7 linked regions of the Ovis aries genome follow. The main gene of each other region encodes a partner of the protein of the gene in region 3 in a complex. Links are inferred from orthologs where the notes say so. Each region holds a gene or a part of one and is shown on either strand. Other genes may lie near its edges.

Region 1 (3,954 bases), on a different chromosome or scaffold from region 3:
CCATTCTCGCCCAGAGTGAGGGTCTGTGTGCGCGCGGCACGTGCAGGCGGCAGCTTCGTGCAGCCCCTCTTTGAATCCCTGTAATGCTGTCTTGTCAAGAACACCGCTCGTCACCGTCACCGCTGTCTTCTGGTCTTGAAGGGACGGCAGCTTGGACCAGGTCCAGGCCAGCCAGGGCCTGGCTCCCCGGGCAGCATCTGGAAACGGCACCTGGCCTGGAGAGCCCGGTGTCCGGCCACACAGGCGCCGCGTATGTTTTCTGGGCTCGCTTTGGTGGGGCCTGGCTTCAGGGTGACAGTGGGCAGAGGGGCCCAGCCTGGACAGCTGGCGCCCCCTGCTGAGGGAGCCCCGCGGCCAGAGCCCACCCCGGCCGAGAGCTCTCAGGGTCAGAGTCCTCTTCGCCTCCTGCCGTCTAGGGAAAAAAGAGGCACGGGAGGGTGGCCGTGACCTCAGAACCCACCCAGTGGGGCCTGGGGAACTTGGCCCCAGCCCCATCCAGAAGGATGTGTGTTCCAGAAACCATTTTCTCTAATACGTTGTCTGAAAGAAATTTTGTGCCTCAGAGTCCGAGCTTGAACACATTTCCACAGTCTTTGGTCTTTAATTCCTGAGAAGTGCTTAGTATTTCTTAAGCAGAGTTTTTGTTTTTGTTTTCTGTTAAAATTTTTAGTTTTATGGACTTAAAACCAAAAGAAGATTTTAACACATGTTGACAAATTCTGTTCCTTCGTGTTTTTTTCCCATTTTTTTTTCTTTAGACTTTTATATTCACTGTCTCTGAAATGAAGATAATTTATCATGAGTGTTATAGAAGTGGGGATGTTTCAAGATGGCGGATTGAGATCGTTTAAACTTTCCCAGGAGAATATCTAAGTAGAAAGAGAAAAATACAGCCTACACAGAATCAAATAACTGAAGATTAAATGAGGTTTTAGAGGTTATTTTGTTTAATATGACGATTACAGGTATACCAAATACTGAGTTTAATCATGACAGAATTTTTTCCTTACAATTCTTTATTTTTTTTAGAAATATTTGTTGGTGAAAAAGATTCATTTTTTTCTAGTGGCTTCTTAACATTTTGCATTTGCTACTAGTCTGTTTCCTTTTTTGTTTGAAAAGGTCTTAATTATTTTTAAGTATTAGATTTAGCAATGATTAATGTAGCATTTTATTATTTTATTTTTTCATTGTGGTAAAATGCATAGAACATAGTTTGCCGCTTTAGTTACTTTTAAGTGTTGGGGAGGCCAGAACTGGGGGCCTGCTGCTGTGGCCTGCTCAAGTGGAGGCAGGAGCCCCCGGCTCAGCTCGCTGGGCTTCCAGACGCGGCTGAAGCCTAACACGTGCCGCAGGGTCTGCCTGGGACACAGCCCGCTGGGAGCTGGTGCTGTTCAACCCGGTGGGGTGGCCAGTCACTGGTTTGGCTAAGGATTCGAGAGAGAGACAGGCAAAAGTTATGATGGGACAGTTCCCCAAAAGAAATAAATAACTGATGGACACGAGGGAAGGCCTTCAGACGATTCATGAATAATCAAGGACGCGCAGAGTCAGATGCGGTGCTAGGCCTTCCTTTTCCTAGAACTTTAGGCAGCAAACTGTGAGGCTGCTCAGCGCTGGCCACAGTGTCGGGGGGCCAGATCGCTCGCGCGGCTGCAGACGTGAGCACATTCCTTGGTTCAGCCGTCCATGTGTTTAGGGAGATGTTCAGGGTTGTGTCCGGCTCTGTGAGAGATGCTGAGGAAGTGTTCATGGCAGTTATGCCTAAGACACCGTTAGTTATAACAGTAACACTAGGGACCACTACGTGAATGCCCTGTAGTTTGGGTCCAGTGAGACTCGTCATGGGCTGTTTATACTGAAACAACAGGGACAGGAGCGGCCCAAACGGATCTGCACACTTAGGGTGGCGCGCGGGGGTGGCAGATGCCGCTGTGAACAGCCTCGCCGCGGCTGCAGTTGGCCTTCTCCTCCTCCCCCGACTCCCCGTGGTGGTGATACTCGCAGAAACAATGGCGTGGTTTCTGATGCCACCCGAGTGAGTCTGTCCTCGCGGTCCTGCTTCTGACTCTCAGGACGAGAACTAGCTGCTTTGTTATCACCGGGGCCTCGGCCATGGTTCCACTGTCCAGAGAGGCCCGAGTGACCTGGACCTTGTCGGCCTTGCAGGGGCACGGAGGACGTCACCTCTCCTCACGGCATCCCTCTCGACCTTCTGGACCGAGTGATGATCATCCGGACCATGCTGTACACCCCGCAGGAGATGAAGCAGGTGGGCCGCGCCGCCCCTCCTCCCCGCCCTCGCTCGCCCTCGGGCCCCTGACACCGGGCAGGACGGAGCCCGTGAGTGTCTCTGGCCCCCCACCGCCCCCCACGGCGCTGCCGGCCGAGGGCGTGTCTCCGTGCTCCCCAGCCTTGGCCCACCTGAGTGACGCGAGCCAGCAGGGCGTTGCCTCCCGTGTCCCAGCGGCTCAGCTGCCGGGAGTCCTGGCGGTCCTCTCTTCTACCCCATCCCGCCTGGTAACCTTAGGACGTGGGAAAACCAACTGGAGGACCACCAGTAAGCAGGCCCCAGCTCAGAGAGGCAGCAGAGCGCCCCTCAGTGATGGGCCCGCCCAGGCGCCAGCCCGCCGGAGCCTGCGGCAGCCTGGCTCCCGCGGGCAGAGCCCAGGCCCCAGCAGAGGCAGTGTGGGTGGCGGCCGTGGAGTGACGCTCGCAGGGAAGGTGTGCAGGGGCACGCCGAGCTCACGGCGGCTCCGCCTGTGCTGAATCAGGAGAGGTGACGGGCCGCGGGACTGGCCTCGTCCGCAGGGCGCAGCCCCAGCTCTCCTTGCAGAGTCGGAGCCGCAGCCACATGCCCGCAGCGCCCGCAGCCTTGGCAGCCCCGTCCCTTCTGGGCCTTCCGAGCCATCCTCTCCCCCGGTGCTGGCTGAGCCCTAAGTGGCGATTCCAGGACACAAAGCCGGCCGTGTGCTGCGGGGCCCAGCCATCTGCTCTGCCCACCCTGACCCCAGACAGTCTCGCTGGGGCATAGGTCTCACTGTGGGTCCCCGTACAGCCACAGCTGGGGACCTGGGGTGCCCAGGGCCGCACTGACATCCGGGGGACTCTGCCAGACCGTCTCCTCCAGAGCACTCTCGGATGGGGTACTGAGTCGTTTGATCCCGTCACTCAAGGTAGGGCAGACAGTTACTACTGATGTTCTTAAAGAGCGGGTGCTGAGATGTAGACTGGTTAGCTTGCCCGGGTTCACATGGCCCATCTGTGGCAGGACTGGGACTGGGACCCAGGCTGTCTCATCCTGAAGCCCCTTACCTGATGTCTCTGCCACCAGCCTCCTCCCTGTGAGAAATGTCCCGTCTGGGAGGCAGTCTCTGTGGCAATTGGCCAGCAGGCTGCTCCTTTCGGAGCTCAGAGGGCCTCTCCTGGACCCTCCGCAGCAGCACCCCGCCTGCCTGTGGCCTGTCTGGCCTGGCCTTGCGTGTCCTGTGGACCAGCGCCCAGGAGGCCCGTGACGTGTAGAGCCAGCGCTCTCCCTGCGTGACGGCATGGCTCAGACCCCAGGTGGTTGAGCACCGTGGCGGCAGCAGCTGGGTGGGAGGTGGGGTCCATGGCTGGAGGCCTTGGCGCCACGCAAGAGGCTCTCGCTCTTGGATGAATGCTGGGTTGAAGCCAGGCTCTCGCTGACTAGGAGCAGAAGCGAAAGCAGAGAAGTCGGTCCCTTCCTCAGCCCACTGTTGTGGCTGGGGCGGCGCCCTGCACCCCGCGGCGCTTCGTGGCTGCGTGGTGTCCTCTGTGGGCCTCCGCCTCTGCTCACGGGACAAGCGCTCCCTCCTCTTGGGGCCGCTGGGAGGCCCCGGGGAGAGCGCGGGAGAGCAGGGAGGAAGGGCTGCTTCTCACGGGCTCCTCACAGCAGCTTTCAGTGACCAGGGCTCCAGGCTGGCATCGCAAGAT
Region 2 (3,306 bases), on a different chromosome or scaffold from region 3:
ATGTTGTTCCCCTCCCCTCGCCTCCGATTCTAGGTGTTAGGAACCTTCTTTCCCATGTTTTGCCGAGTGCTTTTGAAGCCCAGATGCCTTCATCGGATTGTTTTTCATCTGAAAAACGAATGGCGCTTGAAGCGTAGGGGGTGTCTGCATAGTTTTTAAGTGATCATTTTATATTTTGCACATCTGAGAACTGCTTCATGTTTTACTAGTCACAGCTCCTCTGTTAATGTATGAGATATTCAGAGGGAACAAGTCACACAGCTCGGCTTCCCACAAGCCTTTCTGCACACAGCAGCGTATGCCTGAAGCCTCTTTCGGTTCACAGTGCTAAAAACTGATTTTGTAACTTAGATTTTATAGATGTAGTCTCACAGCTTTGGAGCACATCAGCTTTTAAACAAAATCGGCATGTAAGCTGCCTACAGTGGAGTCATCTGTTTGGGAATAAGCCTAAGTCCCCTGCAGTAGTCTCTTGGCAGCTGCGTTTTTCTTTCGGTTAACAGTGCAGGTTGACAGTGTATTAGTCTTCCCTCCAGGTCATTGTACAGATCTTACTGGTATGTAGGGAGTGTGGAATGATATATCTAATCCTAACATGAGATCATGCCTTTGACAAAATTTAAATCTGAAGCCCAAGGCTTTCGCTGGTAGGCTGTCGTATGTTGAAGGCAGAGTGGTGTCAGGCTATGTCTTTCAAGGTCCTTGCTAGCAAGTTAGGTCCTCATTAACAAGTTACTGGAAGTAAAATAAGGCGATACAGTAATAATTCCTTTTGAACCCATAGTAGGTTCTTCTGGCATGAATTTATAGCCCTCTTCTACCCTTCCAGCCAAAGGTCATTCCAAATGCTCTGTGTGGGATTTGTCTGAAGGGTAAGGAGTCCAGCAAGAGAGGGAAGGCTGAGCCACTTGTACACTGCTCCCAGTGTGGCAACAGCGGTAAGTACTGACACGGCTTCACGCTTTAAGCTCTGGTCGCTGCTTCGCGCTAGGGCTCAGTTGTCAGCTAGGCTTGACCCAGTCGTCAGAGACGTCAAGCCTGTCTTGTCTTCTGCCTTGTGTTCCCATTTCTCTTTGGCAGTTAAACCGATGTAGCCATTCCCGAGAAGTTCAAGCAAACTAGCATTTTACTGTGCCATGTAAGTTAGAATCTCGTGTGGAATGCAACTAATCCTGGTTTTGGTTTAGGCCACCCTTCTTGCCTGGACATGCCCGCGGAGCTTGTTTCCATGATTAAGACCTACCCATGGCAGTGTATGGAGTGTAAGGCTTGCATTGTATGTGGACAGCCCCACCACGAAGAAGAAATGATGTTCTGTGACGTGTGTGACAGAGGTTATCATACTTTCTGTGTGGGCCTTGGTGCTATCCCATCAGGTAAAGATTGAGAAGGAGGAACGTTATCTCTGAGTGAAGGGGCTCTTCCAGCACTTCCTTTCTTTGGAGGCTGCATAAATACCATGATGACACGGAGGGCCTGGAGAGACGTGCCCTCTCCACTCACGAGAAGTGGCCAAAGCTGTGGTCGCGGGCACCTGTTTCTCATCGCTAGAGCAGCTGATTAAGGACAAGTGAGACAGCAGATGGCCTGTAAGTTCTGGAAGTAGAGCTCAGTGTGTGCAGACGAGCTCGTGTTGTTCTACTGAAATAGCTAAGGCAGTAGCAGCGATTTGTTTCAAAGCCTTGATTTTATTTTTATACGTCATTTAGAAATTTAACAAAATGACTTATATGCCTTTATACATATTAAACCAGATTTATGTAAATTGAGGCAACATAACAATTCCAGATAACTTCAGAATGAACACAGAATCAAAGAATAAGTCACAGTAATTGGACTAAAACTTTATACACATAATTGCGTAATTTTAGAACTGATTTGCATAGTTAACACTGTCTGATATTTTATAAAAGATATGCCTAGGTTTCCTGGGAGTCATTGAGATGTAAGCAACTTAAATAATTATTTAGAGTTTTATAGTAATTCAGGTCAAGTATGTCGTATAGTCTATCATAATGCTATCAAATATTTGATACATTTTAAAGTGCTATGTGAGCATTGTAGACCAGGACTTGAGGGGATGCTGAGATGCATAGAAATAAGCCACAGTCAGTTAATAGGTTTTACATAATGACTTGTGCGATTGAATGTTTAAAGTATGGTAGTGTCTGAATTTCAGAAAAGATTGTACCTTTTTCAAGGGGCCTGTCATTATTTAGCTCCTCCAGGACCCCTTCCCTCCCCGTGTGCATTTCACAGGGCGGTTATGACACTGACGACCTTAAGGGAAGTTAGTGCCAGCGCCACCAGAAACCCAGTGAGGAGTATCAGTAGCCTTAGCTAAGGGAGGAGAGCTAAATGGTTTTAAAACTCAGTCCTAAAAAGTTAAGTCTCATCCTGTATTAACTAACAATTTTTCTCCTAGGTCGCTGGATTTGTGACTGTTGTCAGCGAGCACCCCCAACACCCAGGAAAGTGGGCAGAAGGGGGAAAAACAGCAAAGAGGGATAGTTTTCTTGACCCCAATACTGTAATATGCATTTAAATGATGTATTTGGTGCCAATTTATTTACAATGTTCTCATTTTTATGCCAATAAAAGATTTTGAAACTACATGCTTAAAATCTGCAATATTTACTCATAAGCCGCTCTCACCCTGGAAACCAAGCAGAAAAATAGTCCCATCCTGCAAAAAGCCTTGATTTCTCAGTACTTTGGTTCTCTCTGACTTCCCTGGTGGCTCAGATGGCAAAGCGTCTGCCTGCAATGTGGGAGACCCGGTTTCAATCCCTGGGTCTGGAAGATCTCCTGGAGAAGGAAATGGCAACCCACTCCAGTATTCTTGCCTGGAGAATTCCATGGACAGAGGAGCCTGATAGGCTACAGTCCGTGGGGGTCGCAGAGTCGGACATGACTGAGTGACTTCACTCTTTTTGGCTCTCTCCAGAAATTCAGTGGTAACATTATGCAGCTTAATTAGAAATACTTAACTATTATTCCATTAATCTAAAAGTTACTATTATTTTCATGAAATTTTCCTAATCTGTATCCTTTCTGGTGTACCATGGGTAGCAGGGCAGTTATTTAATAACGAAAGAATTTCCATAGGGGCCCAAGACGATAAAATTACAACCTGAGGAGATAAGGCGCAGCTGAGTTGAGAACCATCATTAACCGGTATCGGGACACCACCCGCCTTCCAGGAAATCCTGTTGGCCAGCAGGCGCCGTCTCTACTTCCGGTGTAGACAGGGGGCTTTAGTTCTCGGTCAGGCAAGTGTGGAGAAATGACTACATTTAGACTTGC
Region 3 (4,518 bases):
TCCCACATCAGATAAACAGTGGGGACGGAGAGCTGGTCTACGGTTACCTCCCAATGTTTTGAGGACCCACAAGAGAGGCAAAGGTGTATAAATAAATTATGTGTTTTAAAAAAATAAATACGTGTTTATGTTGGAGTGCTTTTCACTGACAGGAAGTCTGGAACCACTGCACTGCCCTGCACCAAAGCTATGATGAGGTCACCCCACGATGAACACCCCCCCAAAAAACACCTGCAAAATCAACATCTCCTGAAGGGCTGGCGTGTGCGCTCAATCACGTCCGACTCTGTGACCCCATGGACTATAGCCCACCAGGCTCCTCTGTCAATGGGATTCTCCAAGCAAGAACACTGGAGTGGGCTGCCAAGCCCTCCTCCAGGTCCCGAATCCATGTCTCCTAGGTCTCTTGCATTGGCAGGGGGATTCTTTACCACTGCGCCACCTGGGAAGCCCCCTGAAGGGTTGGGCACAAATGATTTCAAGTGGCATGAGGAGGAACACTTATTATTTTCATAATCGTATATGTATTGAGTTTAAAGAAAATTAGGAAAATGTATATAACCAGCACATCAAACCTGGGGTTTCTGGGATACAGAATGACTCATGTTTTCAGTTTTCTGAACAGTTAATTTACAAATACATACGTATGAACAAAACCACCTCCGAAAAATTGAGAGCTCATTACATGCCAGACTCTAGAGAGTGTTAAACCACTTCCCATACTATCTTTCCAACCCTCACAACAATTCTTTGAGCTGGCACCACTGTCTTATCTGTTTCTCAAGTTGGGGGACCTACTGGTAAGTGTCCTGCTTGAGGTCAAACTAGAATTTAGAGCTGACTGTGAATCCAGGAGGTCTAATTCCAGAACTAGCACTCCATAACACCACCTCCTATTAACTACTACCCCACACCCTTACTGTTGAGGGAATGAGGTTTGGGGAAAATGGCCTGGAAAGCTTTAGAAAAAAATTAAAAAAGAAAGCAAAACACAGCGCCAGCAACTAATATTTATTGTCTGCAACTCGCCCTCAAGTCCTGGGCCAAGCACTTCACACACAGGGCTACTCAATCCTCAAGAGTACCCTCCTCCTTCATCCACAAATGTTCCCTAAGGGCCTACTACACACTGGGCCAGGGTACACTAAAAGAGATTACACAGACAGCTCTGATGGCCCTTGGAGAAGAGATGTGTAATTACAAACAGGAGTAACTCCTAACACAAGAAAGGATCAAGATGACCATGTGCAAAAGCAGCAGAGGGGAGCAATGACTGGTCCCAAGTGGTCCAACACAACCTGGGGGTCCTCCCTAACCCTGAGTAAAAGCCCCCTCTTCCATGCAGCTACCTGATCTCTGGTTCCCACCACTGGCACCAATCTGCTGTGCTCCTCACACATGACAGGCCTCTAGTTGTTCCCACACTTACCACCTGTTCCCCTACAAGACTGAACAGGCTGCTCTGGGCACCCAACCTCCAACTACCAAACACCCAGCTGGGGCTCAACAAGTATGTGTTGAACAAGAATGGAAGAGACTGGACTGAACAACAACGATAGTGCTTCCCTCTTGACAGGAACCATTTTACAGGCTTTCACCGGCTCCATCTGTGCCATTATTCTCATTTCACATATGAGGACACTGAGAAGTTCCAAAAGATTAAGCTATTTGCCTCCTGTCACACAGCGAAGTGACCAGCAACAGCCAGGAGTCAAACTTGAATCAGGCCTGTCATTTAAAAGTGAAAACTTGTTTCAAATTCTTAGGAAGTGGCTCTCACTGCTTATTCCCTACTTTCCCCAATGATTCACTAGGGGGGGAAAATATCAAGACTAGTGTCTTCAAGACCTTCACAAAATACCTTCTCCTGAAAGATTCGCGTTTTAAATAAAAACCTTAATCTGGAAAATCGATTGGCAGAAAGGGGTAAGGACGCAAAACTAAAACAATGCTTTTAACGGCAAACAGTTCTCTCCGTCCTTCCCCACTGCTGCCGACCCCCGGCTTCAGGGCAAACGTTCTCAAGTCACTACTTGCAAGGGGTTAGCAGAGTTATTTACCTTTCCTTGAAAATCTAAAACGACGTGACTTTTAAAAAAATAACCATTCAGGTCGGCTAACCCAGGGGGGCTGCTAATGTTCGTGTCCGGGCGACGCTGGACACACCTGGGGTTTTTCCTACTGAGCTCCGACTGCAGGCTCGCCAAAAGGCAACATTCGAGTCGGACCCGTTAGAACGTAACCAGAAAAGCCCGGACGTCTGGCTATTGTTGCAGCCCCGGCGGACACCGGGATGTGGGCCCCTGGACCGCCGACGGGGCAACGCGCTTTGTCCAGCGACCCCGGCGAGAGCGCGCGCGGGGGGCGCGCGGCCTCCACGCGGCCCTGGCCCCCACCCCGCCGTCCCGCGGATACTGTAGTCGCCGAGGCCTCGCTGCCTGTGGCCTTCCCCGCGCGCGCGGTGCCGGTCAGGCTTCTTGACCCTCGGGCGCCGCCGTACCCCGGCCCGGCTCCGGGCGCCGGCGGCCCCCTCCCCCCTCGGCGCCCCGGCTCCATTCAAACCGTCCTCCCAAGCCCCGCGCCGCGCTCCCCCCGCGACCCACGTTCCTTACCGGGAGTCGCCGGCGCCGTCGCCTTCCCGGCGCCGCCCCCGCCCCTCCACGCGGGGCCGGGGGCAGAATGGGCTTCTCGCTTCTCCTCACGAAACAAAGAAGCAGCCGCCGCAGCCGCCGAGCGAGGGTAAGCCTCGCGCGCGCGCCCGCCTGCCTCAGCCGCCCCCCCACGCTGCCCGCGCCCCCGCTGCGCGCGCACTCGCCACCTCCCCTCCCCCCACCACGAACTCCCACTCGCTTCCGCTGCTGGCCCGTCCTCGTGCGCGTGCCCGCCCGCCCTTCCGCTCCTAGGGCGCGTGCGCGTCTCGCCGGGGTTGTCTGGGAGAGGTGGGTGGGGCCAGAGAGAGCTAGAGCGCCCGACGCGCCTCCCGACTCTGTGTGGGACGGTCATGCGCCTGCGCGCGGTGGTCTCCGTTCCCGCACGCCGCGCGTCTCAAAGCCGCCGAGCATGCGCAGAGCAGGCGGCACTGCGGCGGTGGTGGAGGTGGAGGTGGCAGCGGGAGGTTGGGGGATGGGGTGGGTGGTGGAGAGGTCTGCGGGGAAAGCGTGGCCGAGGGCCCCTGAGACTCAGAAGTGAGGCTTCCAAGGTCGTGCATGAAGGCAGGAGGCGGACAGGCTGGGGCCGGGGATGAGCAGAGCCGGCCCCTGGGCCAAGTGCAGGTCGATGTTCGGATGATGGCGGTGCCCGTTCGGCAAAGCCTGTTACGCAAAGACCGTGGCTATCTTTTCCGCACAACTTACCTAGGGCTATTAGTTTAGCAGATAATCTATTGACCTGCCCCACACTGAGGTACTGTAGTACCGAAGAGAAATCTCAGCCTCTGTGGCGCTCATGGTTTAGTGGGAGAGGCAGGCGCGAGGCAAGAAAACTTAAGTAAAATACACTGTGTTGAAATGGACACGTGAAGGGTCGGGGAAGTTTTAAATGGGGCAGCTAGGGAAAGCCTCTCTGCGAAGACATTTGAGTCAAGACATAAAAGCAGTGAGAGAGAGAGAGCTTTGTTCCAAGTGTGAAGGCCCAGAGACTAGGAGGCTTCATCTCTTAAATTTTGAGAGTATCTCTTGAGTCTGTATTCGTTGTTTCTAGCCCCACAACTGGACAAACGGTTCCCAGGGCCAAGTCCTGGAGCCTGTGACTCCCTACCCCTGCTTCTCTCAGGCCTTCCCCCTCATTTTTCAGGTCTCAGCTGACTCATCACCTCCCCTGGCCTTGCCCCCTCTTTGATCACCACCTCCTTTTCTTTCACATTTCTTGGGTAACCCCTTTAGTATCTGTCTCCCTAACCTCAATTTAAGTGGCGCAGTGTTGTCAATTTTAGTCCCTAGTGAAGAATACCCAATATCTAGTGTGGGGCCACCCTCTGCAACACACTAGACACCTTAAAAATATTCTTTTTTAATTGAAAATATATTAGCTTCTATGGAGTGTGTATCACCAGCACTTTGGGCCTTTCCAAGCCCAAGGTGAGGCCCTTAGAGCATAAAGCAGCAGCTAATATCTTGGCCTGAAGCCAAAAAGACCTGCGTTGAAAACCTGACTCTCCTTAGTACCTGGGGGATGCCAGGCAAGTTTACAGAAGTTTACACTTCTGTTTCTTCACCTGTAAAGTGAAAACAGTGACACCACTCATCTCCACAGGGTTGGTTATGAGGCATCCATGAAAACAGGCCATGGAGAAGCTCTCGGTGACTTAGCTTGTGACGTTGGGTAATGGACAGGAAATGGGCAAGTGAGGTCTAGACTTCGGCCTGTCTCATTCATTCAAGCAATATTTCTAAAGTGCCTTCAACATCTTAAACGCTGAGCAGAAGACTTCCCTGGTGATCAAGTGGTTAAGAATCCGCCTTGCACAAAAGATAATACAACATTGTAAAGCAATTATCCTCCAATTAAAAATAAATTTAA
Region 4 (3,954 bases), on a different chromosome or scaffold from region 3:
GATGTCTATCTGTATTTAGCACTCTCGGGCAGTGAGTTGATTCCTGTCTTCCTTACCTTAGTACTCTGACTCTCCCTCCACAGGTCAGATACCAGGCCCAGGTTCCATGATGCCTGGGCAGCCCATGCCAGGCCGCATGATGCCCACCGTTGCAGCCAGCATCCACCCCCCTGGGAGTGGCCCCACCCCTCCTGGTATGCCTCCAATCCCAGGAAACATCTTAGGACCCCGGGTACCCCTCACGGCACCTAACGGCATGTGTAAGTACCCAGGTGGGGGGAGGCACTACCCTCGGGACTTTTGGGGAGAGCTGTACACAAGGGAGGCAAGCACCGTTTGTTCCCTCTGGGGTGTGACAGATCCCTGGACAGGATGGCCTGTGAGGGGCGCTTCTGAAACCTGGGCTTTGGTCATTGCGCTTCAGCATCCCTGGTGGACAGGTACCCAGGTGGTGAGCACAGAGTGCTCCCAGTTAGTCAGGAGCCTTCCATAGCCTTCGTGGATGCATTCGTGACACCAAGGGCTCTGGCAAGGCCAAGGGCACACCTCACCCATGCCTGTTTGAGGCTATCTAATTTGAATCTGAGTCGATACACAGAACTACTGGTAGTTATTTTCTGTACAGGAGCCTTTTATGGATTCAGGATTTAAAAGAGGTAAGTGTAAAGAAAAGAATAGAGTCTGGTTTAGGGCAAGAATAATAATAAGTTTTTGTCCAATATATTGGTAGTGGCTGCTTAGACTTAGAAAAGAGTATTCAGGGCTGTGTTGAGAAGGAGTTTGAAGTCTTAGCGGGCTCCATCGAGCGGGCACATATGCTGATGAACAGTGTCTGTGGCAGTGTGCAAAACCAGCTCGGTTTTGCCATGGAACCCTTGTTCTGCTCCAACCCTGGCCTCCAAAGGGGTGCATCAGAGCCTGGCCTGCCCTCTTACCCTGTGGACCATGGTAATGATTCCAAAATGCAGCTGACAGTGGCCATGTACCCCGCCACATCTGTGATCCCAGGTCCTTTTAGAGGAGGACCTGGGTTCTCATGAGGTGGAGTCAGCCCCTGTTTGTTTATAGTAATACAGCTTATAATAAAATGATAATGTATTTATAATACAAAAACATAAAGTAATAATAATGAATTTATAATACAATACAGAGAGCTAGGATGCAGAGGTATTCCTGGCCTCCAGGAGCTTTAGTTGGGAAAATAAAACATGAACAAATGGATAGTAGTGTAGGATTTACCGTAAGTTACACAAGGCTATTGAGTGGCTTGAGCTCACTATAGTTCTCTGGGAGACTTCCTAGGGCCAGGAGACAAGTGCCATCAACACAGGTGCATCTCCTTTCTCATTGGACTCCTAGGAACAAGGACAGATTTAGGTGCACAGAAGAAAGACAGCACTTGAGCCAGGTCAGTACAGGATCATTGTTGAGAAACGAGGGACTTCCTTGGTGGTCCAGTGGCTAATACTGCGCTCCCAGTGCACGGGGCCCGGGTTTGATCCCTGGTCAGGGAACTAGATCCCACATGCTGCAACTAATGATCCTGCATGCAACTAATGCATGATCCTGCAGCTAATGATCCGGTACAACCAAATAAATAAAAAAAACTTTTTTTTTTAAGCGATCTTTGTTGTTACATCAAGGATCAGAGATCATAGTCTAGTGCGTACCTCTTTTCCTAGCCTTGCTGCCCCACAGGCAGTGTAAAAATGTGCTGGCTGACTGGGAGGGTTGACCACGCTGCCATCCCCGTTGCAAACATAATATCATTGGTCTTTACCACTGTCCTGTCCTGCTGATAACACCTGATTTGTATACATGATTCCATCCTGAAGGGCCCTCAGTGCAGTACCTTGAGGGTGTGGAATGTTTGGGGTGCTCCCCATCACTTCCTGCCCCAGATGAATTTCAGGGATCCTGAGCTGCTGATTTGGCTTCAGGGCATTGGGCAGGCCTCATCAGGCAAGTCACTTCCCTCTTCAGGCCTTACTTTGCTCCCCTGAAAGGTGACACTAGGGAGTAAATCGGTGGGCTTCAAAACGCTTTGAAGAGCCTTAGCAATTGGGTGGACACCTCCTGAGGGGAAGGTTGGATGAATTAGCTGGTAAGCAAGGAGGTGCTTTAATTGTTTAATTCGTTTTCATCCCTGGCAAAATCTTGAAGTTTTTAAAACCCTGGATTGAAGTATCTCTATGGTTGCTTTGTACACTAAAGCAGTCAAAGTAGAAATAGGAAAGAGCTCCTTTCCTAATTGTTCCCTTCAGGACCTGACCTAGTTTTGGCCAAAAATTTAAAGACTACAGTTCAGGAGTTGCGGGGCCTCTCCAGGCTATCCAGCTTGTTGGCCGCTGCCTCAAGTCAATCTCTGTGACCCTGGTGGAGACAGTTCATAAAAGCCAGCAGTTTCTGATAGGCAGTTTCGTCCCCAGCTAGGCTAGGCACTCTGAGAGAACGCAAAGAAGACACAGAACTTGTCCAGGAAGGAGCTTATCATTTAACTGAAGAGAGAGAATTAGCAGTGAGAACCATTAAGATAATGATAAAATCAAAATATAATTAAGTTCTGCAAAGGTCTGGAGGGATTGAGAGTGGGGCGGACTCAGACACCTCCGCACCCCCGAGCCGCGTGGGTCAGGGGAGCCACACAGGTGGTGACGTGGAGGTTCAGGTGGACCGCCCCATGTAGCCCTCAGCAGCAGCCGTGCCTCACAGGCCATAAAGAAACTTCCTTTATAAGTCCTGTTTCTCTGCATGGGCTCTTGCCCAGGCCCCTTGTGTTTCCGGCAATGACAAGTTCCTTTTGGATGTGTTTGCAGATCCCCCTCCGCCGCAGCAGCAGCCACCACCTCCAGCACCTGCGGACGGAGGCCCTCCACCTCCCGCTCCTGGCCCACCAGCCTCAGCTGCACCGTAGCCCGAAAGACACAGGGGACGTCCGCGCCCAGTGCCCCCAGCTGGAGTGGGGATGACAAGACTTGTGTTCCTCCGCTTCCTTGGGTTTCTTTCAGGAGTTTTCTTCTCACAGCCCCAAGCACGCACCCTGACTTTTCCCCATTCCTCTTGCCACCCCTCTCCGTGCTCTGACACCTGCTGTGTTAGTCCTCCTCCAGCACTCAAGGGGAAGCCACTGCTGCCAGTGTGCCCTGGTCGCCCTGAAATACCTGGCGTCTCCCTGACCCGCTGTGGGGTATGCTGACAGTGTGTCTGCAGGTCCTGTCAACGTTAGTGGTCTATGTCTGTATCATTTTTTGCTCTCCTGCAGTTTTGTTCTGTTTTTGCTTTGTCTTATGCTTATATGGATAATGCTTTATAATCATTATCACTTTTCTTTTTTTTTCCTTTTGGTCATTATTGCTTTAAAGGAGAGCATCCTAAGTTAATAGGAACCAAAAAATATTGATGGGCAGAGGGGATAGCCAGAGGGGACAAACCTTAAGGCATTGTAAGTGACCTTATTTCTGCTTATCTGAGCTAAGAATGGTGCTGATGGTGAAGTTTCATGAGACTTTTGCCACACATGGACGCACCAAAATTTAAAGAGATGGGGAAAAGTGACCCCCCCCAATGTTATCCTTAGTGAGGACCATGAGAGCCTCCAGCCTGCCTGGCAGAACACCCCCTTTCATCCCTGGTAGGGGAGAGCACAAGCTTTAGAAGAGATCCACTCCTTGCCCTGGCCCACTGGTTCTGGTTTTCTATGCAGACGGTTTGTTTGATTGCTAGGGGAGGGGGTGGGCATTTTGTTTTTGTCAAAAGTGTAAGCAGTGTAAGCTTTGAGGGCTGCGATTTGGGAGGCATTCCTGAGTTCCCTGAGTCTAGGGAACTTTCCCACCAGGAACGTTCTGAGGGTCTTGGGCAATGGTCATCCAGTGAATCTAGCCCACTGTTCACTGCTTTGTGTGCATTCTTTTTTCTCCCTCTTTACAAGAAAGAAAAAACTTAAAGAAAAAAAAA
Region 5 (3,954 bases), on a different chromosome or scaffold from region 3:
ACATCAGCCAAAAATCATCAGATTTTAACTGGGTGCAATATACTGCATATAAGCCTCAGTAGTAATGGTAAAAAGTCAAATGGTACAAAAGATAGCCAATGAAAAGTAAGTTTCTCCTTCCCCACAAAGAGACCACTGCTACAGTATCTTTACTTATTAAACTTAAACTGACTCTGAAAATACATTCAAGTAAACACACACCACACAAAATAAAACGTGGCCTAAATTTAACCACATGAATATAGGACAAACTAGCTTCTACTGACCCAGCGTATGGGTTGTAGGAATTACTATCAGCTGAGTGATGATGGTTCAGGGTCTAGCGAAAGGACAGCTTTACTGGAGTTAATATGGAGTAAGGGAAAGAAGGCAAAGACTATGTAGAGCCAGAAGGCATGGTGCTCTGAGGAGAAAGTGCCTTCTTTCACTATCTGCCTAAACATGCCTTGTTCATCCATCTTCTGAACAGAAAAGCAGACAGAGGTAATGGGAGTTGGAGTCTCAGACTGGAATGTCCTACCACCCAGAGAAAAGACAGGAGTTCATCAGTGATGAGCTGATAAATTCTAATAACTGATTCTCCAAAAGAGAAAAAGAACGGTAAGAAAAAACCCTGACTTGGAGCATTTGCTAATTTCTGTGTTTTAAATATTCTCCACACGGTTGATTTCAAGATGCTGACATTATATCACTCATCGAGGAATTGGGAAGGGATGTGCAGTAACACATCATTAGACAGTATTTCCACCACACAGACACAAGAGACAGAAGTAACTTCAAAAACACACACCAGTATGTGTATGTCAGTTGCTCAGTCGTGTCTGACTCTTTGAGACTCCACGGACTGTAACCAGCCCGGCTCCTCTGTCCATGGAATTCTCCAGGCAAGAATACTGGAGTGGGTTGCCATTCTCTTCTCCAGGTATTTTCCTGACTCAGGGATTGAACCTGGGTCTCCTGCATTGCAGGCAGATTCTTTACCATCTGAGCCACCAGGGAAGCCCAAACACCGGTAAACCAATATAACAACTCAGATATGATGACCTTCTGAGTACATTTACACTTATTTTTTATATAATGTATTTAATCGCAAGTTTATATAATCCTAAATAATGACTGTGTTTAACAACCTGCTTATAAATTTCCTAAAAATTCTGAGAACTGACTTGCGCAGGTGGTACAAGCCAGCTCCAGCACACACTGCCTTGCGTACACATGCTTACCTGATGACATGATTAATGATGATGGGCTCAGGTGGCATAAGCAAGGCATGGAGCCGTTGGGGAATCTCTGAAAACTTCATACGTTGAGACTCAAAGATCTGTGGGAAAGAGGAGAAGCAGCTAAGAGTACAACTGGTGCTGCAGTGGACTTGAGAAAAGAGTGGAAACTTTTCTCACCTGCTGGAGGTACTTGTCACAAATGACAAACTCCCGCTCATGTGGGTCCTGGAGCTTGTGTGTCTTAATATACTGCCACAGTGCTTGAATGATCACCGGACGGGTCTGGGTGTGGATGCCCAGGAGCCGAGCCAGACGAGGGTCTAATTTAAACTGAGGAGGCTGGAGAGAACGAGGGTGCAGAGGTGAAGCTAGTGAGCTGAGTCTATGTGCTATTATGGGGCACTTGGTGTGGCCACACATTCATGCCATTCAACAGGCATGCATGTTGTGCTTTCTCTGGAGCAGAAAAACACGAAGAGGAACTCAGAAATGACTAAGACCCTATCCCTTAAAGATATCCAGGGAGCTAACGGTCTGATGGCAAATTCCCTGAACTGGACTTAAACTGCCTTTAAATGTCAGACTGCTGATGGGATGGGGCTGAAAGCTGGGCCTCCTCAGGGCAGCAGATACCTGGTAGTCCAGCATCAGCAGGACAGTGCACCGCACATTCACGTCTCCTGGCCGCTTCACCTGGAAGCCGTCCGTCTCCTGGGTAGTGGCGGTCCTGTGCCACTACAGAGAGGAAGATGTCAGGGGGTGCTCTCCCAGAGGAAGAGCTGGGGTGGGAGGGAAGAGCTTCTGTAATGACTGAATTTTCAACTTTGATTAATGAGGCTACTGGAGAAGAGCAACACCATGAGACATTTTAAAAAACCGCATATGACTTTGGGATTCCTGTCTATAAGGAGACAGACATTTTAATTCTGACTGCTCAGGGTCACATTTAAATTAGCCTGTATTTTCAGTGATAATTTTATCCATAAAATGGATAATATACACTTGTACAGTAAAATAACATAGCTATCATCTACTGAGTACTTACTATGTGCCAAAGTATTCTAGGACATGTACTTGGATTATCATATTGAATCCCCACAACATCCATATGAGAAAGGCATGATTAAACCTATTTTACAGATGAGAAAACTAATGCTTACAAGAATGAAGCAAGCTGCCCAAGGTCAACAGCCAATAAGTGGTGGAGCTGTTATCTGAGCTCTGGTGTGTTGGAGTCCACAGTCCACATTCTCAGGCACTATGCTCTACTGCTATAAAGTTAAATATATTTACAAATTTCTATTGATTCTATGACTTACTTCCCTTATTAGATGGTAAAGACCTTCCCATGTTTCTTAGTGGTTGAGGTTAAGGGGCTGCGGCTACACTGGCAAAGAAAGGAGCAGGTTAAGTTCACTTGGAGTGCTCGACTATCTCATTCTTGTTTTGACTGTATCACAAAGAACACTGCTGCTAACAAGGTCTTTAGAACACTATGTAATCAGGCATTATAATAAAGAATTTTTGATGATTTGGAATGTGAATCTAAACAAAGCAAGAACCAAAAGCAAGCAGCAGATCTGTAAAAGTAGCCTCGCTGCTGCTGCTGCTAAGTCGCTTCAGTTGTGTCCGACTCTGTGCGACCCCGTAGATGGCAGCCCACCAGGCTCCCCCGTCCCTGGGATTCTCCAGGCAAGAACACTGGAGTGGGTTGCCATTTCCTTCTCCAATGCATGAAAGTGAAAAGTGAAAGTGAAGCCACTCAGTTGTGTCTGACTCTTAGCAACCCCACGGACTGCAGCCCACCAGGCTCCTCCGTCTATGGGATTTTCCAGGCAAGAGTACTGGAGTGGGGTGCCATTGCCTTCTCCAAAAAGAGAAGAAGTAGCCTTGGTAAGGACTAAATCCTATTAATGAACCCCTTAAACACAGCACTTGTTACCAGGAAAAAAGATGAATGGCATGTGGAGAGCTACATCTCACCATTCCTGGCATGTATAAAAAGCCTCCATTAGACTTTCTCTTGAGAGTGGGGGCAGCAATCAAGATAATTAAATTTAAAAGGTGGGACAAGTCAGACTATAAGAACTCTTGGGTCCAAACAGTACCAAAACCAAACATCTAGTGCCACCTGGAGGCCAATGTGCAAACTGCATTGGAGGTACCCACGCCCCTCTCCCTAGACATTGAAGTTTAGCTCCCAAGGCCATCATCCACTACTGATAAAGCCAAAGTCTAGAGGACAGAACTACTCACTTCCACCAGATGGTTGTCTGGTCCATACAGGTCTTTGTCCAGTTCGATCACCAAGGATTTAAAAAAAGAAGAAAACTTCCTCTTTTGTTTGGTGGCATCATATTTGGACAAGGCTGACTGGAAAAGAGAGATGAGACGTCATGTTAGAAAAAACCAGAAGAAATTCCCCAAAACAAAGTCCCATAAACAAGGAACCCACAAAAGCAATGGGAAAAAAACAAAAATGTCTTCTGAGTGTATCTTAGGAAATGGCAAGGTAGGTGTCTATTAAACAAGTTGCGGTAGCAACAGAACCCCGAAGAAGCAGCCTATAACGTGTATAGGGTCATTGGCTTGCCCACCTCTTTTTCCCAAGGGAAATGATGCAAGTTAAGCCAAACCTTTACACAGAAAAAAGCGAGTCTGAACAGAGAAAATTCTGACTCTAGAGGAAAAATGAATCACAGGTAATAAGCAGCCAGAACAAAAACAGCTT
Region 6 (4,571 bases), on a different chromosome or scaffold from region 3:
CCTAAGAATCCCTTTTCCTCTACAATACACACACTGACACACATATACATATTCACTCATTCTTAGAGAATCTTGGCTCTGACTCCCAGCCACTTTTCTGACCTAGCAGGTCAGGTCCGCTATCTCGTAAAGTAAAAGACTTGCAAGAATGTCTACTCTCTCCCACCCCACAAAGACCCTCATAAAGGGGGATTCCCTTTAAACTAAATGTTAAGAAGTACAAAGAGAAGAGAAGGCATCTCACCATCCCTGGTCACTCTTGAATTTGTAGGCAGCTGCAAGTATGTGGCACAGGGAGCCTCCTGCTTTGAAATCTAGGAAACATTTGATCTACAAAATTGAGACAGGGAAGAAGTATATGAGAATTACATCCTAAATTCTCTTATGATTTAACAATCCTTTCACAAAATCTTATGCTGAACTGATCTCCCTCTCAAAGCTGGAATTCTTTAACCCCTGTGCCATTCTATCTTGTAGCCTAGAAGAGGGGAGAGAAAGAAACCAATATCTACAAAGCCCCACCATGTCCCTTGCTGGATTCCCTTTACTGGGTTTCCTCGTTAATCATTACAGGTAATACCTACAACATAGGTATATTAATCCCATCGAGAGATAAAGGAACCAAGACTCAAAAGGCATAAATGACTTGTCCAAGATGACAGAGACACCAAGTGGTAGAGCAAGGATTTGAACACAAGAGTGTGCAAATCCAAATCTCACGTTCTCACCATGCCATGAGTTTCATGACTGAGTTTCAATACTCGAGATAACCTGTTGCATGAACTATTACTAGGACAAAGGGGATGGTAAACTGGGGGCTCTGCCAAGCCAGTAACACCCCAACCAGGGAAAGGGATGGTAGGAAGTCACCCAAACCTCAAAAACTAGAAGATTTACAAAAACACAAGAGACAACTCCTTCTTGGATTTGCCCCCTTGCTTTTTGCACTTACCGGCAGTTTAGTGAGCGGTGCATTGCTGACATGTTTGCCAAAAACTTCTTCCTGAAATTGTAGCAACTGTACAACCAGGCTAGACAGGGACTTGTTGGTGGGTGGTTCGGCTTGTATATACTGGGGAAATAGGGAAAAGGAGAGAAAAACAGACCCCAAATCAATTTTCCACCATCTCCCTTCTTTCTTTCCCAGAAGCTCTGGAAGCATCTGGAATACAAATAGTGTCTTCTTCCCCCACATGCCTAATCTCTTAGAAAGAAAACGGCAGAAGGAAGGCCTGAGGTGCCCCTCACCAAGAAGATGACATTCAGCTTCCTACTGCCAGTCTTGGGTGCTGGCAATATAGGCAGCTTCCTACTCTCCCTCAACTACACCCTAAAAATGGAGCTGCAGGATCCAGATCTTTAGCCAATGGCACCTAGAGTTGTAAAATTATGAAGATTCATAGGGATCAGGCCACAGAAGCAACATCTGGAATGCTCTAAGGGAGACAGCAGTCTACTTCTTTGAGTAATGGTGTGGAAGGTCAAGATTCCCCCTATAATATAGCCTGATAAGAAAGGTGCAAAGAAGCAATATAGGGCACATGTCTTCACATGCCCTCCTAGAAGGGAAAAAAGACAGCTACTGCCCAGCCAGGTGGAAATAGCAAGCCAGTATCTACCCTTCTTGAGGAGACTGTACTGGACACAGGCAAGCCTGGGGCTTCTTAAATATTTCCATATTATGCGACCTAGCACCCTAGCCTTCAGTTCTCGTGTAAAACTGTGCAAAGAAGCTAACTTTATCTTTTGATCCCCTTTTCCTCAACCCCGACCATAGAAAAAAGCGCACCTTTTGGTGGGAGGTGTAAAGAGATCCTTGAAAGAAAAGGTAAATGACAGAGCTAAGAGCTTGACAGCTGAACTAGGTCACAGGCTGTCAATTCCCCCAGGGCCAGACACTAAGCCCCTAGACTGATCTCCTGTCCAAAAGGTCAAAGGTAGAAGCCTGGGAGCCAGAGCCTCAGGCTGGTGTAGAGAGGAGCCACAGACCCAGCAGCTGTTGGTCAAGCTCTGACACCCAGACAGACCTCTGAGAACAGAGCCAGACTCATAACCAGGATCAGAGGGGCGTTCTCCACCAGCCCATCACACTTCTGACAGGTTGCAGAGCTGAGCAGGAAGAACTGGGGAGCTGAAGGAAAGTCTGAGAACCTCTTATTGGGGGCAGTGAGAAGGAAGAGACCCAGACCCTCTCCAGAGAAAAGCCCTATGCAGAGATGTTCCTTTCAACCAGGCCTAAAGACAAAGACATCACCAGGAAGAGGTCTGGTATAAACGACAGGTAAGGCTTGAACCCTTTGTTCATTACCTTATTATCTCCTGTTACGGGATGGGGGACTCCAGACACAAACTGCATCCTAGTCTCTGAACCCCAAACCCAAGGCAATGCAAGGCCAGGTGGTGGGGTGATTTCATTGTGAAGTTGAGCAATGGTTTTAAAAGGGGTAGCTGCCCAGGAACTCCTATACCCTGACTCCCAAAGAGGTTCTGTTACCCCTTGTACGGAGATGGGGGCGGGCGGTAGACAGGTGATCCCGGGGTGGGGGCCTTTTTCAGGCTGGTGAGCAGTCGAGGGCCTGCTCTGGGGCTGTTTATCCTCTGGCTTTCATCATCTTTCTCTGAACATACACAAAGCACCGGCGAGGCCTCAGCCCTGCTGGTACCTGGCTCCGTGGGGAGCTCTGGCGGGCACCGTGGCGGGCACGCTCGGGTCGGGGGGGGTGGGCATTCGGCACCCATCCACCCCCGACCGTCCCTCCCGGAAAAGCCCGGAAGGCGATGGCTTACGGAGGGTGGGCAGCTGGCACCGGGACCCGCCGGACGAGTGGAGAAAAACAAGGGGCAGAGGGCGCAGCAGTGGGGGCGGGGGCTGGAACCAGAGGCGGGGGTGGGGGGGGTTGTTAAAAGAGGCTGGGGGAGGGGCGCGGGGCGGCGGAGGGCGCGCTGGGGCCGCTCCGGGCGCCGCGGGGGAGGGGCCGCGGGCCGCGGGAGGGTGGGCAGGAGCTGGGGGTGGGGGGAGCCGCGGGGCCTCGGTCCCTTTGTCCCGCCCCCGGCCCCCGCGCGGCCCTGCCCGCGTACCTTCTTGTAGTTCTTGCCGAGCCACAGCCGCACGTTGTCGAACTGGGTCACGGTGTCCGCGGCCTCGTAGTACTTCACGTTGGGGCCGCCGTCCTTCTTCCGCACCGCCATCTTCTCGGGCTCGGGCTCGGGCCCCGCCGCCGCCCGCCCCGCTCAGCTCAGCTCCCGCCTCCTCCGCCTCCTCCTCCGCCCGCCTCCCGCCGCCTCCCGCCGCCGCGGCCGCCGCCTCCCGCCGCCTAGGCCGGCCCCGGCCCGCGCAGCGCCCCCTGCCGGTCGGCCGGACGCGGTGGCGGCGGAGCGCCTGGCGCGGGGCGGACCCTGGCGGCCTCCCTGGCGGCGGCGGCGGCCGCGGCCGGAGCTCTGGGGAGGAAGCTGCTTCCTGGAGGGGGCGCACACTCCCCAGAGATCGCCATTTGCTGACCTGAAGTCTTTTCTTGCCTCTCAGCCGGTGGAGTGGGGTACCTCTCTATCCTACCCCAGGGGGATGCCGGTCGCCTGAGGAGCCCCCAGCCCAGACCTCAGTGGTCCTCACCTTGCACATTTCTTAACCCCACAAAGCCCCTAATCCCGAGGAGCCCTGGACCCGTTTCCGCAAGAAGTTTCTTCCTGTCATCCATCCCCAGGAGTGCCCCGTTTAAACTCCTGAGCCTCCCTCGCCCCTAACGCCTTGTCCCAGGTCTCACTCCGCAACCCGAGGAGTCCCCTAGCCGCCACCCCGGGGACCCAGCCCCTCCTCTCCAACTGCTTTCCTCTGCAGGCCTCGCCAATGCCTCCTAAACAGCTTTGCGCTCCTTGAGACCCTCATCTTCGTAGGGCGGGAGACCCTTCCTCTTTGGGTCACCCGATCCACCCGACTCTCTTCCTTTGAGCGGCGTGAAGGCAGAGGTAAGGAGCGGAATGTGAGGAGGTCACAGGCTGTGTGTTTGGGCTTGGCCCAGCTTCCCGTTGCCACCACTCGCTCCGGGTCGTTGTACAGACCCTTTCTGTAAGTGCTCGGTGACAGGCGGTCTTGGAAGTCACGGTGGCCGAGTGGTTAAGGCGTTGGACTCGAAATCCAATGGGGTTTCCCCGCACAGGTTCGAATCCTGTTCGTGACGGCCGCTTTTTTTCAGGGTGTGTGTGAAGGAAACTTCTTGACTTCCACGTGTGTTTCGTGCCTTTCCCTTTCTGTATCGGAAACAGAAGCCAAAAGGTCTCACCCCTGGATCTGGGGGAAGAAGGGGGCTGAGGGTGACAAGAAGCGTTTAATGATGTACAACTGTATTGTCTGCTAGGATAACAAAGCACTTAGAGAATTCTGTAACTTCAGGTTTGCAAGCAGAGTTTCGACGTACCTTGTTTCATTCTTTCGGGAGGGTGTAGCCAAAGATTTGGTTCAAGAACGGTTAAGTGTTGTTCAGGAATGTGAATGCTAGTTGTGCTTTTAATAGTAAAAACTGGAGTTTCCAGATAAAGAGGGCACCTCTGAATTTAATGACCAGACGTCACATCTT
Region 7 (4,485 bases), on a different chromosome or scaffold from region 3:
TCTGTGAAATAACCTAGAATCATAGAACTTTAACCATAAAACAGAACATGCATGTTTATGTATAAAACAGCAAGAAAATGTCACCAGGACTCTTTTTGCAGCAATTGCTACTATGGTGATCAAAATTTACAGACATGTCACTGAATTATTTCTGCTCCCTAAGAGCTTGCACCATATCGGACCTCCTGACCAGGTATATCTGACCTCTATTCTAGTTAAACCTCCACTAGTGAAATCATACTAATGTTAACCCACATCTCTGGGGCAGGAAATCAATTTAGCCTCTTCCAGGCTTCCCTGGTAACTCAGTTGGTAAAGAATCCACTTTCGATGCAGGAGACCCGGGTTTGATTCCTGGATTGGGAAGATCCGCTGGAGAAGGGCTAGGCTACCCACTCCAGCATTCTTGGGCTTCCCTTGTGGCTCAGCTGGTAAAGAATCCGCCTGTAATGTGGGAGACCTGGGTTTGATCCCTGGGTTGGGAAGATCACCTGGAGAAGGGAAAGGCTACCACTCCAGTATTCTGGCCTGGAGAATTCTACGGAGCATATAGTCCCTGACCTCATAAAGAGTCGGGCACGACTGAGCAACTTTAAGTTTCATAACTCTTCCAAGACTTACCTTTTTTTGGATTTTATACCGCTTGTGGCAGGTCATGCGTTTACTTGCTTTCTTTAATTCTACAAAGCAACAGATCACAAAAGGATTAATTTATTGTTTTTCAAAATCGATTTTATCCACAAATGATCAGCTAGTTTAGCTTTTGATGACCGCGCTTTAGGTCACATCCATTTTTGCATTAACTGGCTCTGAAACATAATTTAATAATATTGTGGGGCGCGTGGTAAAAATAATCACGGACCAGCCAAGTCCCAGAGTCTAACTTAACAGATTCGTTGTAGATCCAGCTTCCCTACTTCCACCTTTCTAAATTAGACTGGGATCGTACACAGGAGCATATAACCCCAGAACTGCCACTTCCTGTCAAACAGCACGAACCACAGAAGAAAATCTAACAGTGCGTGTTTTCAGACCTCACCAGAGCCAGACCGAACGAGGCCGCACAAGGGAAAACGCCAGGCCCGAAACCTGGCTCAGACACTGGGTCCTCATGACTCTCTGGCCTGATCTCCATCCTTGGGGCCCAGACTTTCTTTCCGCACACAAGACCGCGCTGCTCACGTGGGGCCTTCCAACCCTCGGTTCTAGGCGGGATCAGGGAGACGGAGCACCCTGGTGGGTTGGTCGACTATCAGACACAAACGCCCCCTCCACGCCCGCCCCCTGACCACACTCACTCGGCCGCTTCATAGTGGAAGCCGAAAGGCCTGCGCCCGAAGTTACACCAGCACTCCCAGGTACAACGTGCCCCTGCAGGCGCCACGTGCCAACTGAGGCCTCCGCCGAGCGTCACGCACTCACGCCGCTGCCGTAAAGCACGCCGCCACTAGCCCGTGTGCGCGCGCACGCAGTGTCGTGCGGAGCCGGGTTCGCTCGACGGCCGCGGAACTGGTTTTGCGGCGGTACCGGGAGGGGTGAGGGCGGTGAGGGCGGCGGGTGCTGGAGCGACGGCAGCGGCCGCGGCCGGAGGAGCAATAGCAGCAGCCGTGGCTTCCACGGGGCGGGGCGCGGCTGTCGGCGGCCGGGGCTGCAGGCGGCGGAGCGGCTGGGTAAGGCCGGGCCCGGGGCGGGCGGGGCCGCTTCCTCTCGGCCGACTGCCGGGCCTTTGTGTGGGCCCGGGCGGGCGGGAGCAGCGGCGGAGGCCCCGCCCCGATGGTGGGGACGCGCCGGTCGGGCCGGGAGCGCGGGGCGGGGCCCGGCGGCGGGGCTTCGGGACAGGCCCGGCAGCCTCGCCGCACCTGCCGCCAGGGACAAAGGCGCGCCGCGGCCCGAAAACTCCCCGCGCCCCGCTTTCCCGCCCCCCGCGGCTGGCCGAGCTCCCGTCGCGGGCAGCTTCAAAGCTGTCAACGTTTCCCTTAGTTCCCCGTGCCGGTGACAGGTTGGGAAAGTCTTACATTTCCTCAGCAGTTAAGGGCTTCTTTTTTTTGTTGTCGTTTCTTGACGGTTCAGACACAAACTCTCCTAGTAAAAAAAAATTTTTTTTAATACTTTCCGGATGACTGTTCGGACTGAGTGTTTTCTTAAATCAGTGGGAGTTGTATTTGTCATGGAGGGCAGATATAATTTTTTCCGTGCAACACCACAAAGAATCGAGGTTTTAAAATTGTGTACATTTTTGGCTTTTAATATTTTCCATCTCAACAAAATTTTTTTATTGAAAAAGAAGCATAGTTTCTTTGTTATAGGGTAGATGTTGATGACTTAAAGGTGAAGAAAGATAGGCAGAAATTAAGGAGGAATCCTGAAAAACAAATGACAAATACACGGTATATGGATATAGAAATTATTTCTACGATTATAGGAACATATGTTGGAGTATAAAGCATTACTATTAACTTGTTTTCCAGCAAATTATCCCTCCTCAGTGATTTCTAGGGGTTTTTTTTTCCATCTAGTAGTGAGCTCTTTTCCCAAGTACAATTCAGAAGCAAAGTAGATTCAATACAAAAGAGCAGTATAATTTCTGCTTTATCACTTGTTAACAGGTTTCCCATATTTTATGTCTAAAAATTGGAAGTTATTTTTTGAAAAAGTAAGTCAAATCAGTAACAGACATGTGTGGATAAATAGAAGGGTTTTGACCTCTTGGGCTTTGGGAGTGTCCGAAATACGTAAAGTATTAACGTTCTACCCAAACTCCTAAGATTAGTACGTTGCTGTATCTGTGTGATAGGCTAGTTTCAAGGCTTCCAACATCATGTGTGAGAATGTTGACTCAGGAATATTGTCGAAGGCAAACACAGGCTGCAACATAATACATATAGTTTGTTCACACTTCAGTTTTTTAAAAAAGCAGCCAGGCATAGAACAAATACTGAAAGCTGAGAATGCTGTCTGCCCACAGTACAGGAGACCCAGCCGGGCTGGATCCCTGGGTTGGGAAGATCTCCTGGAGAAGGGAATGGCAACCCCCTCCAGTAGTCTTGCCTGGAGAATTCCGTGCACAGAGGAGCCTGGCGGGCTACAGCCCATGGGCTCGCAAAGAGTCGAGCACGACTGAATGACTAACACACAGCGTTATAAGTGATTTTTTTCCCCCAAGATTATTGTGTTAAAGATAAATTACAGCACTAAGAATCACTGGAAATACAGGAGAATAGTACAAGTCTATAAACTGTCAGAATACACCATTTGGCTATACTGAGTAATTTTTTCCCAGTTGCACATTGTAAAGTTATTCTTTACTGTCCACTGTAATTTATCATTGATTGTTAGGTTTTGGACATGTGACTGTAATCAATGCCATTTAAAAAGTTGTACCTAAGCTTCAGAATCTATTCCTTTTCTCTTTATAGAAAAATAATTGCTGAATGGCTGCTCACAGGCCTTTTAAACTACACAAACTTTTTAATATTTTACTTAAGTGCACTTTTACTACATTTGTTAAATAGATTAGTTGATCACTGAAACTGTGCTATAAGTCAGGCGACAAAAATGGGTAAATTGCTTTTCTTGTGCACAAGGGAGAATGAAATCCTAGAGTTAAGTTTTAACTTAACGTTTTTATTGCACTTTGATATTTCAGGGGCTTCCCTTGTGACATTTCAAAGTGATTTCATGTACATTCATTGTCAAAACAGTCCAAGGGAGATATGTACACTTTGCATGTGTGCTCACTCAGTCGTGTCTGACTCTTCGACCCCATGAACTGTAGCCTGCGAGGTTCTCCTGTCCATGGGATTATCCTGGCAAGAATACTGGAGTGGGTTGCCATTTCCTTCTGTAGGGGATTCTGACCCGGGAATCGAACCTGCAGCTCCTGCATCAGCAGGTGAATTCTTTACCACTGAGCCCTGATATATACACTACTGTTTTCATTTTAGAAATGAAGAAACAGATCTGAGAGGTTGTGACCCAACATCAAACAGATCATTAAAGAAGGAAGGCCCGTGTCTCTTATTAGTCTTCACTTCTGAGCTCAGGTCTTGTTGCTCCTCCCACCCACCTAGCCACATTGCTTTTCTTGCCAGACTTTCAAAGTACATGTTAAAATGTGTTCTTTGAATGAAAAAATATTTGAAAATTATACTTAAGTTGAATCTTTTGTTGTTATCAAAGTAAATTAATGATTGGAGTAATTTTGGACAATATATGATCTAGACTATAATCAGTGCTGAATATTCATTGGAAGAACTGAGGCTGAAACTGAAACTCCAATACTTTGGCCACCTAATGCGAAGAACTGTGTCACTAGAAAAGACTCTTAGGCTGGGAAAGATTGACGGTGGGAGGAGAAGGGGACGACAGAGGATGAGATGGTTGGATGGCATCACCGATTCGATGGACATGAGTCTGAATGATCTCTGGGAGTTGGTGATGGACACGGAAGCCTGGGGTGCTGCAGTCCATGGGGCAGCAAAGAGT

Evidence for each region.
Region 1: SMARCA4 (region 3) and RUVBL1 share a complex: the UniProt entries of both Homo sapiens proteins name them as parts of the BAF53 complex. The link is inferred for Ovis aries from reciprocal best matches to the Homo sapiens genes SMARCA4 and RUVBL1.
Region 2: SMARCA4 (region 3) and PHF10 share a complex: the UniProt entries of both Homo sapiens proteins name them as parts of the neural progenitors-specific chromatin remodeling complex. The link is inferred for Ovis aries from reciprocal best matches to the Homo sapiens genes SMARCA4 and PHF10.
Region 4: SMARCA4 (region 3) and SMARCC1 share a complex: the UniProt entries of both Homo sapiens proteins name them as parts of the BAF complex. The link is inferred for Ovis aries from reciprocal best matches to the Homo sapiens genes SMARCA4 and SMARCC1.
Region 5: SMARCA4 (region 3) and SMARCD1 share a complex: the UniProt entries of both Homo sapiens proteins name them as parts of the BAF complex. The link is inferred for Ovis aries from reciprocal best matches to the Homo sapiens genes SMARCA4 and SMARCD1.
Region 6: SMARCA4 (region 3) and SMARCC2 share a complex: the UniProt entries of both Homo sapiens proteins name them as parts of the BAF complex. The link is inferred for Ovis aries from reciprocal best matches to the Homo sapiens genes SMARCA4 and SMARCC2.
Region 7: SMARCA4 (region 3) and PBRM1 share a complex: the UniProt entries of both Homo sapiens proteins name them as parts of the SWI/SNF-B (PBAF) chromatin remodeling complex. The link is inferred for Ovis aries from reciprocal best matches to the Homo sapiens genes SMARCA4 and PBRM1.

The regions. Positions count from the first base shown.
Region 1 is NC_056072.1:59,415,742-59,419,695, forward strand, and holds part of RUVBL1 (ruvB-like 1), read left to right. Parts: intron 1-2,169; coding exon 2,170-2,272; intron 2,273-3,954. UniProt on the Homo sapiens protein: Possesses single-stranded DNA-stimulated ATPase and ATP-dependent DNA helicase (3' to 5') activity; hexamerization is thought to be critical for ATP hydrolysis and adjacent subunits in the ring-like structure contribute to the ATPase activity.
Region 2 is NC_056061.1:91,165,795-91,169,100, reverse strand, and holds the end of PHF10 (PHD finger protein 10), read left to right. Parts: intron 1-829; coding exon 830-938; intron 939-1,187; coding exon 1,188-1,376; intron 1,377-1,668; exon of another isoform or gene 1,669-2,425; coding exon 2,426-2,511; coding exon of another isoform or gene 2,512-2,545; 3' UTR 2,546-2,613; downstream 2,614-3,306. UniProt on the Homo sapiens protein: Involved in transcription activity regulation by chromatin remodeling. Belongs to the neural progenitors-specific chromatin remodeling complex (npBAF complex) and is required for the proliferation of neural progenitors.
Region 3 is NC_056058.1:13,255,222-13,259,739, reverse strand, and holds the start of SMARCA4 (transcription activator BRG1), read right to left. Parts: upstream 2,902-4,518; 5' UTR 2,613-2,901; exon of another isoform or gene 2,541-2,612; intron 2,471-2,540; exon of another isoform or gene 2,416-2,470; intron 1-2,415. UniProt on the Homo sapiens protein: ATPase involved in transcriptional activation and repression of select genes by chromatin remodeling (alteration of DNA-nucleosome topology).
Region 4 is NC_056072.1:52,090,132-52,094,085, forward strand, and holds part of SMARCC1 (SWI/SNF complex subunit SMARCC1), read left to right. Parts: intron 1-83; coding exon 84-260; intron 261-2,816; coding exon 2,817-2,914; 3' UTR 2,915-3,954. UniProt on the Homo sapiens protein: Involved in transcriptional activation and repression of select genes by chromatin remodeling (alteration of DNA-nucleosome topology).
Region 5 is NC_056056.1:136,221,150-136,225,103, forward strand, and holds part of SMARCD1 (SWI/SNF-related matrix-associated actin-dependent regulator of chromatin subfamily D member 1), read right to left. Parts: intron 3,597-3,954; coding exon 3,480-3,596; intron 1,959-3,479; coding exon 1,857-1,958; intron 1,563-1,856; coding exon 1,401-1,562; intron 1,322-1,400; coding exon 1,224-1,321; intron 1-1,223. UniProt on the Homo sapiens protein: Involved in transcriptional activation and repression of select genes by chromatin remodeling (alteration of DNA-nucleosome topology).
Region 6 is NC_056056.1:163,357,149-163,361,719, reverse strand, and holds the start of SMARCC2 (SWI/SNF complex subunit SMARCC2), read right to left. Parts: upstream 3,215-4,571; 5' UTR 3,190-3,214; coding exon 3,079-3,189; intron 2,282-3,078; exon of another isoform or gene 1,984-2,281; intron 1,073-1,983; coding exon 953-1,072; intron 331-952; coding exon 245-330; intron 1-244. UniProt on the Homo sapiens protein: Involved in transcriptional activation and repression of select genes by chromatin remodeling (alteration of DNA-nucleosome topology).
Region 7 is NC_056072.1:48,263,919-48,268,403, forward strand, and holds the start of PBRM1 (protein polybromo-1), read left to right. Parts: upstream 1-1,511; 5' UTR 1,512-1,670; intron 1,671-4,485. Other genes in the region: GNL3 (guanine nucleotide-binding protein-like 3), read right to left, coding at 622-680, 1,299-1,311. UniProt on the Homo sapiens protein: Involved in transcriptional activation and repression of select genes by chromatin remodeling (alteration of DNA-nucleosome topology). Required for the stability of the SWI/SNF chromatin remodeling complex SWI/SNF-B (PBAF).